Linked DNA regions of Saccharomyces cerevisiae S288C. The protein of the gene in region 2 purifies or fractionates together with the protein of the main gene of each other region. This does not show direct contact. Each region holds a gene or a part of one and is shown on either strand. Other genes may lie near its edges. The genes, in order: VPS1, SNF5 and ARP9.

The links.
Region 1: the proteins of SNF5 (region 2) and VPS1 purify together in Saccharomyces cerevisiae (affinity purification with mass spectrometry, with the first as the bait; 2 studies listed by BioGRID). This does not show direct contact.
Region 3: the proteins of SNF5 (region 2) and ARP9 purify together in Saccharomyces cerevisiae (affinity purification with mass spectrometry; 5 studies listed by BioGRID, with this or other methods). This does not show direct contact.

The regions. Positions count from the first base shown.
Region 1 is NC_001143.9:440,108-444,321, forward strand, and holds VPS1 (dynamin-like GTPase VPS1), read right to left. Parts: upstream 2,616-4,214; coding exon 501-2,615; downstream 1-500. Other genes in the region: polynucleotide adenylyltransferase PAP1, read left to right, coding at 3,125-4,214.
Region 2 is NC_001134.8:777,748-782,894, forward strand, and holds SNF5 (Snf5p), read left to right. Parts: upstream 1-1,919; coding exon 1,920-4,637; downstream 4,638-5,147. Other genes in the region: YBR287W (uncharacterized protein), read left to right, coding at 1-107; APM3 (Apm3p), read right to left, coding at 265-1,716; BSD2 (Bsd2p), read left to right, coding at 4,844-5,147. UniProt on the Saccharomyces cerevisiae protein: Involved in transcriptional activation. Component of the SWI/SNF complex, an ATP-dependent chromatin-remodeling complex, which is required for the positive and negative regulation of gene expression of a large number of genes.
Region 3 is NC_001145.3:336,283-339,880, forward strand, and holds ARP9 (Arp9p), read left to right. Parts: upstream 1-1,505; coding exon 1,506-1,535; intron 1,536-1,621; coding exon 1,622-2,995; downstream 2,996-3,598. Other genes in the region: formin-binding protein HOF1, read left to right, coding at 1-1,025; YMR030W-A (uncharacterized protein), read left to right, coding at 1,031-1,321; RCH1 (Rch1p), read right to left, coding at 3,136-3,598.

The DNA.
Region 1 (4,214 bases), on a different chromosome or scaffold from region 2:
AAATTCTCGTAACATTCTTATTTTATACGTTCGGAAATCATGAACATTTATTTTTATGATTATGTAATTAAAAAAATATAATAAATTTATTTTGAAAATTAATTTTTTTAAAATTTTAAATATGTTTTTATCATGTGACTTATGAAAATGATATTTACGGTTCAAGAGAAAGATAAATGCAGAATCAATCAATACAATGAATAGTACCTTATTTAGTATTGGACCATTGAGGTATTAGGTATTAGTAGAAATATCCTAAACACTAGTATTGACAAAAGAATAATATTATATGCTATCAATTATCATTCCCATCCTCATGTTGACCTTCTTCATATTGGACAAAAGATACTAGGATCGTAATGCGAGATAGGAAATTCTTCAAAAGCATAATTTATAGACTAGCTTCCACGTATACAAGAACAATATATAAGATTTGCAGTAAATATTAGGGAGAAATACTCAAAACCAAGCTTGAGTCGACCGGTATAGATGAGGAAAACCTAAACAGAGGAGACGATTTGACTAGCGTTTCTCAATATCTCGACCATCTTCTTACATTCTTTTCTTCTTTGAATGGTTATGTCGTTTTCTTTCGTTAATTCTTCAATATCTTGCTTTCCGTAAAGTTTTTCGAGTAAAACTTTCTGAATATCAGTTTTACTTTTCACAATCAATTTAAGCATCAAAGCCTTTGGTATAATATCGGCAATGGTTCTTTTGACAATAGAGAAATAACTACTAATCAACAACTTGATTACTTCTGTTTCCATTGTTTCCCTCTCTGTCATTTGGCCAGTAGCTTTTAAAACAGGAGGTGGGGATTCCAAAGCTGCCAATTTCTTCTTGTTTTTAGTGGAGAAGAACCCACCAAAAAATCCTGATTTCTCTTCCATAACTGGCGCCTTACTAGACGATGGTTGGGTTGGTAATGGTTTACCCGTCTTTGGGTCAACAGCGACTTGGCGAGGATGTAATTTTTCTTCCACCATAACCATTGCTTGAGAACCCTTCAAAAGGTCGGGATGGGCTGTATTGATGTAAGTTTGTTCAGCTTTGATGATATCGACAACAAACTCATTCGTAGGAATAGTAGCATCCTTTAAGAACTGAATGAACTGATTAGAAATCGCTTCTCTTAGAGCAGGATACCTTGAGTACTTTGGTTGTGAAATAATCTGTTTTAGCATACGAACAAGTTCATCAAACACCAGAGTAACTAAACGTAGAGATGGTTCTTCAAATCTTCTAATTTGCTGTTTAACTAAAACTTCAAAAGCTTCGGTACCGACAAACAAAGATGGGGCAGAACCTGAACTATTGTACATAATGGTTCTGATATCAGAATCTTTGATCTGGTCGAATGGATCCAAAGAGTCTACACCATTTTTGAAAGTTTCATGGAATACGTAAGAAATTCTAGCACCACCAGAAAGTTCCTGACTGGAAAGCTCCTTCGCCTCACCGTCCAAGATACCGGCATATTCATTGGAAAAATCAGTAATCATGCTCAAAACAACCGAACTAGCTGAATCCATAGTTTCTGGGCCCAAGTTTATAAGTTCGTTTTGATATTTTTTCAATGTGGCTTCGATTTTCGCTTTGATTTCTGGCAGAGTTTGCCTAATGTGGTGTAATAAGATTGAGTTTAACTTTTTAGCCAAATATGGTGTACCACAGTAATGAGCTTTAGAACTGTAAGAGGGATGGTTCTCAAAAAATTTTCTTTCGTTTTCAAGGGCTTCTCTGATTGTTTTTTTGTGTTCAATATCCTTTTGACCTCTATTGATAACTGGGATATAACCATATCTCAAAGGAATGACTCTTCCAGCCAAAATATCTATGACATCTGTACCTTGATCCATCAAATCGACTTTTGTCAAGACACCAATAGTTCTCGTTCCTTCTGGATCGACCTCTCTAGCCAGCTTCAAACCATCGCTGTTGGCTAAATCGGTGTTAGCGGCATTAACAGATAATATGATAGCGTTTGGTTTCGAAATATACTTTAACAACATGTCCTTAATTTGTCTTTCAATATCAGGAGGTTGGTCACCTACGGGAACCTTCGTCAACCCAGGCAAATCCACTAACGTCAAAGTAAGAACATGCGGAGAATAAATTCTCAAGTTAATGGGCACAGAAGAAATACCTGAATTGGCACCTGTCACTTTGTCAGTTTCTTTGACGATTTCCTTTCTAATTTCGTCAAAATTATAAAACTTCTTACCAGGTAAATGCAAAAATTCACCCCATTCCTCTTTATTGTCTTCAGATTGTCCCTCGTTCTGGTGCTTTCCTGATTCATCCTTTTTCTTGTCATCATCGTTGATGTTCAAGTCAATCAATTCATTAGCAGTTTGGTTTACTTTAGCATGTTCTGACTTTTTTGGTCTCCTATTAATCAATTGTAACACTAAAGGTCTCCTGGTGACAATACCAGTACCTCTTGGCAAGAAATCCCTACCAACAATGTTCTCCAAAACGGACGACTTTCCTGACGACTGGGAACCGACAACAGTGATCTGTGGTAAATCAATAGGAGATTGAGATCCTCCTCCTAAGGGCGCCAAAGCGTCCTGAAGCTTGTTAATAGTAGAAATTAAATGCTCATCCATGATATCTGATAATATAAAATGTGCAGTTTTCGTACGGTCCTTATTTTGGTGCTATAAAAGGCCTCTCTAATTCTTTTTTAGGAGTAAATAGATGAATTATCTCGGTCTGTCTTGGAAGATATGTTGTTCTCTTGATGGCAAAGCGACGCGAATCAACGGCGCCCAAGTCTTTGGGTGACCCGGCCACTTAATAATGTTTGGGGAAGAAATCAATCCATTAGAACATTGGTTTTGGAAACTAGGCCAGTCCAAGCGCACAAGTGGTTTACCCTCGAGCATTTTTCGACTATTAGAGGATTCAAGTATCTATCGAATTCTCTGAAGCTATCATACTATCCTCTGGACGATATTAGAACGATTTTTCAAGTGAAACGTTTTAGCAAAAGTTTAAAGACACTAAACTAGCTAAATAATTTCACTGTGAGCAAGTCTTTAAACGGTCTTTTTTGAATCAAAAGAGGCCTAGAATTAGCAAAATATTTAACGCATAAACTTTTTTTAGACAAATAATGAGCTCTCAAAAGGTTTTTGGTATTACTGGACCTGTTTCCACCGTGGGCGCCACAGCAGCAGAAAATAAATTAAATGATAGTTTAATCCAAGAACTGAAAAAGGAAGGATCGTTCGAAACAGAGCAAGAAACTGCCAATAGGGTACAAGTGTTGAAAATATTGCAGGAATTGGCACAAAGATTTGTTTATGAAGTATCGAAGAAGAAAAATATGTCAGACGGGATGGCAAGGGATGCTGGTGGGAAGATTTTTACGTATGGGTCCTATAGACTAGGAGTCCATGGGCCTGGTAGTGATATCGATACTTTGGTAGTTGTTCCAAAACATGTAACTCGGGAAGATTTTTTTACGGTATTTGATTCACTACTGAGAGAGAGGAAGGAACTGGATGAAATTGCACCTGTACCTGATGCGTTTGTCCCGATTATCAAGATAAAGTTCAGTGGTATTTCTATCGATTTAATCTGTGCACGTCTAGACCAACCTCAAGTGCCTTTATCCTTGACTTTATCAGATAAAAATCTACTGCGAAATCTAGACGAGAAGGACTTGAGAGCTTTGAATGGTACCAGAGTAACAGATGAGATATTAGAACTGGTACCAAAGCCGAATGTTTTCAGAATCGCTTTAAGAGCTATTAAGCTATGGGCCCAAAGAAGGGCTGTTTATGCTAATATTTTTGGTTTTCCTGGTGGTGTGGCTTGGGCCATGCTAGTGGCTAGAATTTGTCAACTATACCCTAACGCCTGTAGCGCAGTTATATTGAACAGATTTTTCATCATTTTGTCGGAATGGAATTGGCCACAACCTGTTATCTTGAAACCAATTGAGGATGGCCCGTTACAAGTTCGTGTATGGAATCCAAAGATATATGCCCAAGACAGGTCTCATAGAATGCCCGTCATTACACCAGCTTATCCATCAATGTGTGCTACCCATAACATCACGGAATCTACTAAAAAAGTCATTTTACAGGAATTCGTAAGAGGCGTTCAAATTACGAATGATATTTTTTCCAATAAGAAGTCCTGGGCCAATTTATTCGAAAAAAACGATTTTTTCTTTCGATACAAGTTCTATTTAGAAA
Region 2 (5,147 bases):
AAATGGCCGATATTCTATTTTGGGGGTACGCTGTCTTAAGTTTGCCTGTAAGTATTATTGTTGTCTCAGGTGCAATTTACGTTTTACAGTGGGCTAACCCAACTTAATACAACTTTTCATTCCTTTGTATAGAGTCTTCATGAATGAAAGTCTTATTCATTTTTTTTTTTTTTTAGCATAGTTTTATATTCCTTTTTTATTCCAAGACTTATATTCTCATTATATTCTATTTAGTTTCGCATGGAATTTCAAGTACACATATAACTACAGCCTTACTTGAAAATTGCCTGTCTGGGTCTTATACTTTGCACCCTTGTACAGCTTTGTATTTTTGCCAATTGTTAATCCAGATACAATATCGATGGCTTCTACATAGATTCCACTGGCCGATTGTCCTATGTAAGAATATTCTAAGGAGACTGTTTGTAAATCAACTTTTTTTGTAAAATTTGGCCCAGTATTTTCATACTCAATACAGCCACGTAGTACAGGTACCGTTCCAGTGGCAGTTGATTTATCAAAAATCCATTGTCCTTGACCCATGATAATGCTATTTTCAAAACGGCCATGAGTATTGCGCAATATTTTTATCTTATATGCTATTTCATTTGGATCAGCATTCTCAACATTGAACTGTAAATCTATTTTTAGGTCATCAACTTGTGAAACTTTTTTGAAATTTTCAATATTTAAGGATAACTCAAATTCATCAGAATCTTTACCCAATCCATTTTGGAAGTGTAAAGACATCAAGCCAATAGAATTCATCCTTACTCCGGATTGCTTTACTTGAGAACTTAAATCGACGGAATACTCCAGCAATCTGAACTTCCCATCTGGTGGTATAAACGTTATATTAGAGGGAGAAAACACACCATCATTGATTTCAACACAGTCATGCAAACTGGGTATACCTATATCATTTCCCATAGTGTTTAATTTTACTGCAACTAGAGGATTATCATTCAAATAAGATCTCACGTCCACTATTCCATGGATACTTCCAGTGAGCAACCTTAGATGTGATTTTTTCTTTTCAAATACAACATGGAATGTTTCTAACAAATCCACATAAAGCTCATTATTCTCATGTTTGCTAGCCCTTGAAGTTCTCCAGGGAACAATCTCTTCATTTTCGATTAGTGAATTACTACCACGAGAAATCTGATTTTGTTGTAGCTGCTGTTGCCTTTGTTGTGGGAGTTGCACAGCCTGCTGTAAATTATGGGCTGTAGAACTTATGAACTTCGATAAATCCGATCTTTCAGGAACAGCTTCTTTAATTTTATTAACATAGAGCATATCACTCACATTTGGTTCACCCGCTTCGACGCAACAGTTAAAAATCAAACTGATTCTATCATAATTATTAACAATTTTCTTGATACTTAATTTATCCTTGTCAAAATATTCTAACAGGATACGATCTATAGTCTCTAAAAAGGTAAAACAATCAAGCGGGCCTTTTGACTTCGAAGTGGAGGCTAAGCACCAATAATTGAGCTTATTTATAACTGAGAAATACTTATAGACCTCTAAATCTCTTCCAACCATTGAATGGTCTAAATAATCATCACTACTGCTATCTTCGAGCAATTGAGGACATGTGGACTGAACGCGGGTCCACAGGTGCTTGAAGGAGGGAGCTGTTGCACCTAAAAGATACTGGAAAATAAGTTTGTTCTTTGTATCAGTGATATAGAATGACAAATACATCTATTTTGGTTGGGTTGGTAAGGTTTACAGCCTCTGTTGTTGCCCAAGTCCTGTTATCGCCAACTTTAAATAAATCTCTTCTTGTTCTTTGACCAAAAATTTCATTTTTCGTCGCATTTAAAAGAAACTGAAATTTCAAACATAAACACCAAAACAAAGCATCATCAAGGGAACATATAGTAAAGAACTACACAAAAGCAACAATGAATAATCAGCCGCAGGGTACCAACAGCGTTCCAAATAGTATTGGAAATATATTTAGCAACATTGGAACTCCATCTTTTAACATGGCGCAAATTCCGCAACAGCTGTATCAGAGCCTCACACCACAACAATTGCAGATGATTCAGCAACGACACCAACAGTTACTGAGGAGTCGTCTACAACAACAACAACAACAACAACAACAAACTTCACCGCCACCGCAAACGCATCAATCTCCACCCCCTCCTCCGCAACAATCTCAACCCATTGCTAATCAATCAGCGACTTCTACCCCTCCTCCTCCTCCAGCACCACACAACTTACATCCCCAAATTGGTCAAGTGCCCTTAGCTCCAGCGCCTATTAATTTGCCTCCACAAATTGCTCAGTTACCTTTGGCTACACAGCAACAAGTTTTGAACAAGTTGAGGCAGCAGGCCATAGCAAAAAATAATCCACAGGTTGTGAATGCAATTACTGTTGCACAACAACAAGTGCAACGCCAAATTGAGCAGCAAAAGGGACAGCAAACGGCACAAACTCAGCTAGAACAGCAGAGGCAATTGCTGGTTCAGCAGCAACAGCAGCAGCAACTTAGAAACCAAATACAGCGACAACAGCAACAACAGTTTAGGCATCATGTGCAAATACAACAGCAGCAACAAAAGCAACAACAACAGCAGCAGCAGCATCAGCAACAACAACAACAACAACAGCAACAGCAGCAACAGCAACAGCAACAGCAGCAGCAACAACAACAGCAACAACAACAACAACAGCAGCAGCAGCAGCAGCAGCAGCAAGGACAAATACCGCAATCTCAGCAAGTTCCTCAAGTTAGATCCATGAGTGGACAACCTCCCACCAATGTTCAGCCAACTATTGGCCAACTTCCTCAACTTCCAAAATTAAACTTACCCAAGTACCAAACTATTCAATACGATCCACCAGAAACCAAGCTACCATATCCAACCTATTGGTCAGACAAAAAAGCAGATACGGATACTTTGTTGTACGAACAAATTATCCAGCGTGATAAAATTAACAAATATTCGCTAATAAGAGAAACCAATGGTTACGATCCGTTTAGCATTTATGGATTTAGTAATAAAGAGTATATTAGTAGACTGTGGCATACACTGAAGTATTATCAAGATTTGAAGAACACTAGAATGAAATCTATCACAAGCACTTCTCAGAAGATTCCTTCGGCAAGTATTTGGGGAAATGGTTACTCAGGGTATGGTAATGGGATTACGAATACAACTACCAGAGTTATTCCACAAGTAGAAGTTGGAAATAGGAAGCATTACCTAGAGGATAAATTAAAAGTCTATAAACAGGCCATGAATGAGACATCGGAACAGTTAGTTCCCATAAGATTGGAGTTCGATCAAGATCGTGACAGATTCTTCCTCAGGGACACTTTGTTATGGAACAAAAATGACAAGCTTATTAAAATTGAAGACTTTGTGGACGACATGTTGCGAGATTACCGATTTGAGGACGCTACGAGAGAGCAACACATTGATACTATTTGTCAATCTATACAAGAGCAGATTCAGGAGTTTCAAGGAAATCCATATATAGAGTTGAATCAGGACCGTCTAGGCGGTGATGACTTGAGAATTAGAATCAAGCTGGATATTGTCGTGGGACAAAACCAGTTAATCGATCAATTTGAGTGGGACATCTCTAATAGTGATAACTGTCCAGAAGAGTTTGCAGAGTCCATGTGTCAAGAATTAGAACTACCAGGTGAGTTTGTGACTGCCATTGCTCACTCCATAAGAGAGCAAGTTCATATGTATCATAAATCACTGGCACTGTTAGGTTACAATTTTGATGGATCAGCGATAGAAGATGATGACATTAGAAGCAGAATGCTCCCAACGATTACTCTTGATGATGTTTATAGGCCTGCAGCGGAAAGCAAAATTTTTACTCCAAACCTATTACAGATTTCAGCTGCAGAGTTAGAGAGATTGGATAAAGATAAGGACAGAGACACAAGAAGGAAAAGAAGACAAGGTAGATCTAATAGACGTGGTATGCTCGCATTGTCCGGCACATCTGCAAGTAATACATCTATGAACGGCGTTCACAACACAGTAGCAGCAGGAAATGCTTCATCGTTGCCACCAGGAGAGATTTTACTGCCAGATATTGCAGATATTCCAAGAACTTTCAGGACTCCAGTACCTAGCACTTTAATGCCTGGTGGTGTTGACGTAGGCCCTTCTGTGGAATCGTACGAATTGAGAAACACAACCACTTATAAAAGCAGGCCAGATAGACCTAAGCCAGTTTCACCTCCTTGTTATATTATTGACCATATTCCGGGTCATTCGCTACTACTTTCTATTAAACTGCCTGGGAAAGTTAATACAAAAGAAGAGTTCGCAGCAGCGCCCAATGACACAAGTAGTGGCACCAATGCAATGCTTCCGAGTCCAGAATCGCTGAAAACTAAGCTGAATAGTAACATTCGCGCTGGTGTGACGATACCTTCAATCCCAAACCCGATTGCCAATCACACTGTTACTAATTCACCCAATCCCACACTGCAGCCAGTAATCCCAGGTGGGGCAGCTAGTAAATCGGTACCTACACCTAGTCTTCCTATAGCACCTCCAGTAGCACCACATGATAGCGAAGCGACATTGTTGACTAATAGCAATAATGGTAGCAGTAACAATAACACACAGAATACATAGAAAATATATACACATATATAAAATATACCGGAGATGTAAATAACCGTGGAAGAATTTGTATTATCATCGTGTTATACGATGCGGAGTCCCTTTGCGCCTACTTTTTTTAGAAGAATAGTACATAACCTTTATAAAAATCTTCCAATTTAGATACATAAAAAGAGCATGAGAATAACAAGAACACGTAGTCTAGGAAACTAAGCGCTATGCCAGAGCAAGAACTACTTATAGGGCAAGAAATGAATACACTTCATGCAGGTTCATCTACTGATGGCATAAATGTCGGAAACGCAGGACGAACTAGAGACACACAAACTGGCGTAGAAGGGGAAACGGAAATAGGGTCTGACGAGGAAGATAGCATAGAGGACGAGGGAAGCAGCAGTGGAGGAAATAGTACGACAGAAAGACTAGTACCACACCAGCTGAGGGAACAAGCAGCCAGACATATAGGAAAAATAGGAAGACATTTTAATATTCTTGATAGACTTTTTAAGAAACGTACACAAC
Region 3 (3,598 bases), on a different chromosome or scaffold from region 2:
ACAAATATGAGAAACCATTGCCATCTCCAGAAGTCACCATGGCTACACAATTTAGAAATTCCACACCCGTCATACGTAATGAGACAAAAGTGGTTGCTAACCCAACATTATCTTTGAGGTCTTCACCCGTCCAGTTACAGAGCAATGTGGATGACTCCGTGTTAAGGCAGAAACCTGATAAACCAAGGCCGATTGTTGGGGAAGAACAACTTAAACCTGATGAAGATTCGAAAAATCCTGATGAAAAAGGTCTAATGGTGCATAAAAGAAATCAATCTCTCAGCTCACCATCAGAATCAAGTTCTTCTAATCCAACGGATTTTAGCCACATCAAAAAGAGACAAAGTATGGAATCTATGACTACATCCGTAAGTTCAATGGCCAATAGTATAGACGACTCACAGAGATTTGCCAAATCATGGAACTCGTCAAATAGGAAAAGAAAATCTATGAGCCATTTGCAAGTACCCTCATCCGCTTCTTCGAGGTCGGATGATGGGGGAAGAACGCCTAACTCTGCGCACAACCTCAATGAAGATGATTATAACACGAGGAGAGATACCAGTACAAGCACAATTTTGTTCAAACCTCCTGTGGCAGTAAGAGGAACGTCTAGGGGGCACACGCATAGACAATCCATGATAATGCAAGATTCAAGTAATCCAATTGAAGATGCCTTGTACGAAATGGAAAGAATCCAAAGTAGTTCTAAACCAGGTACAAAAACAGGAAACATCATGGATGAGAGAGGTGTGGTCAGGGATAGAGGTATTACTGTTACCTTGCCTATTGTCACCAGTGAAGGTTTTCCAGTCATTGAATATGCCAAGGCCATGTATCCATTGATTGGAAATGAGGCACCTGGATTAGCGAATTTCCATAAGGGCGACTATCTGCTAATTACTGAGATTGTTAATAAAGATTGGTATAAAGGTGAAGTTTATGATAATGACCGTATAGATAGAAATCATAGGATAGGATTAATTCCCTATAATTTCATTCAGCTACTGCATCAAGGTCTTTGATCTCGATGTATATCAATTTTACTAGTTTTCTGATAAAAGAAAAAAAGTATAATGTCAGATTTTTGTTAAGTAGAAATAGAAAGATATACGCTGCCGTGGGAGAAGGACACCTCTCCGGATTTGTAACTAAAAATCATAAAATATCACGTCTTTCCTTCATATTTTCAAAAAAAAAAAAAGTTTTCTTTACCATTTTTGACACAATAATCACGATAATTGTTAGGTCAGGCATTCCCTTTCCACTTTTATGTTCATTTGGACGCAATAAGATATACATATTATTTAATGTGCTCTAATGACAGTTCTACTGTGTTTATATCATTAGAGTCACTTGTTACGAATACTACATATTTCCGCGCAGTGGCTAAAAGCAAATTTCAACATTATAAATCTCTAATAGTAAACTGACAATATTGCGGAATTAGAAAAAATGTACCACGCGAAGTTAAGTGTCTTGAACAACTACTATATGCATTGAATATGGCTCCATTTAGGCAGGACAGTATTTTGGTACGTATTTAGTTCATCAATGGATTTTTTAAGTCTTCACGAACAGTTTTTGGTTAATCTTTTATACTAACAACAATTCATAACAGATAATATACCCCAGATCTCAAACTACTCTCGTTCAATTTGGTTTGAATGAAGAAACATTCACTGTACCTGAGCTGGAAATACCAACACAGATTTATCGGACCACGAGACAAGATGGTTCCTACACATATCATTCAACGAACAAGGATAATAAAGCCGAATTAATCAAACCAATCCAAAATGGTGAAATAATAGACATAAGCGCCTTTACACAATTTCTTAGACTAATATTTGTATCTATTTTGTCTGATAGAGCTAATAAAAATCAAGATGCTTTTGAAGCTGAATTATCTAATATTCCTCTTCTACTGATTACGCACCACTCTTGGTCGCAATCGGATCTAGAGATTATTACTCAATATGTCTTCGAAAGTCTTGAGATAAACAATCTAATCCAATTGCCGGCTTCCTTAGCGGCCACTTATTCTATGATTTCGTTGCAGAATTGTTGTATTATTGATGTTGGAACACATCATACAGATATTATTCCTATTGTTGACTATGCACAATTAGACCATCTTGTCTCTTCAATACCAATGGGCGGACAGTCTATTAATGATTCTCTAAAAAAACTACTACCTCAATGGGACGATGATCAGATAGAATCATTGAAAAAATCACCAATTTTTGAGGTGCTCAGTGACGACGCCAAAAAACTATCAAGTTTCGATTTTGGAAACGAAAATGAGGACGAGGATGAAGGAACTTTAAACGTTGCCGAGATTATTACAAGTGGTCGTGATACACGTGAAGTTTTAGAGGAAAGAGAACGTGGTCAAAAAGTCAAAAATGTTAAAAATAGCGACTTGGAATTCAATACTTTTTGGGATGAAAAAGGTAACGAAATTAAAGTTGGTAAGCAAAGATTCCAAGGATGTAATAACCTGATTAAGAATATTTCTAATCGTGTAGGATTGACGTTAGATAACATAGATGATATTAACAAAGCTAAAGCCGTTTGGGAAAATATTATCATCGTCGGTGGCACTACTTCAATTTCAGGTTTTAAAGAAGCTTTACTGGGTCAACTACTGAAAGACCATTTAATTATAGAGCCAGAGGAAGAGAAGTCAAAAAGAGAAGAGGAAGCGAAATCCGTATTACCAGCTGCAACAAAAAAGAAAAGCAAGTTTATGACAAATAGCACCGCATTTGTTCCAACTATAGAATACGTACAGTGTCCTACAGTAATCAAACTGGCTAAATATCCAGATTACTTTCCTGAGTGGAAGAAAAGTGGATATTCAGAGATTATATTCTTGGGTGCCCAAATTGTTTCTAAGCAAATTTTCACTCATCCTAAAGATACATTTTATATCACAAGAGAAAAGTATAATATGAAAGGACCGGCTGCTCTTTGGGACGTGCAATTTTAAGAATACGTGATAGATGCTTCGTGTATCCAAAATCCGTGTGAATATGTGCTGTTTAGTTTTTTCCATCCAATGAGGATGGGAAATATATACATAAACGTTATGTAATATATAGAATTCATGCAAAATTAACAAGGGAAATATCACCTTGGTTGTGTATATGGGACGTTGTTCGACAGAACGGATTGATTTTCACCAGTTCCAATTGATATGATCTTTTCCAAATCAACTTCCTCATTCTCATTTGCACAAGATGACTCGCTTCCGTCTGCTTGAGCGTCCTTTTGTATCCATCTTTTGAACAAGCTTACAAAGAAATTTGCCGTCATGACTTGCTCAACTTGATATAAAACCAAGGGAACCAACAACTTACCCAGGTGTTCTTTTTTATCGCCGTATTGTGAAGTAATTAGTGATACACCCAGTGCTGCAGTTTTAGCCGGGCCACAAAACATAATGCAAATCGCATCTTCCTTTGAATAATAAAAAGGCCTAAAGATATTATACGAATAGCGGTACAATCTTGTAGATTTGCCCTCTATTGGTTCATGAGGGAAAAGCTTGAGGATGAACCATGGCCTTGCACATAAGTATGACAGACCCGTG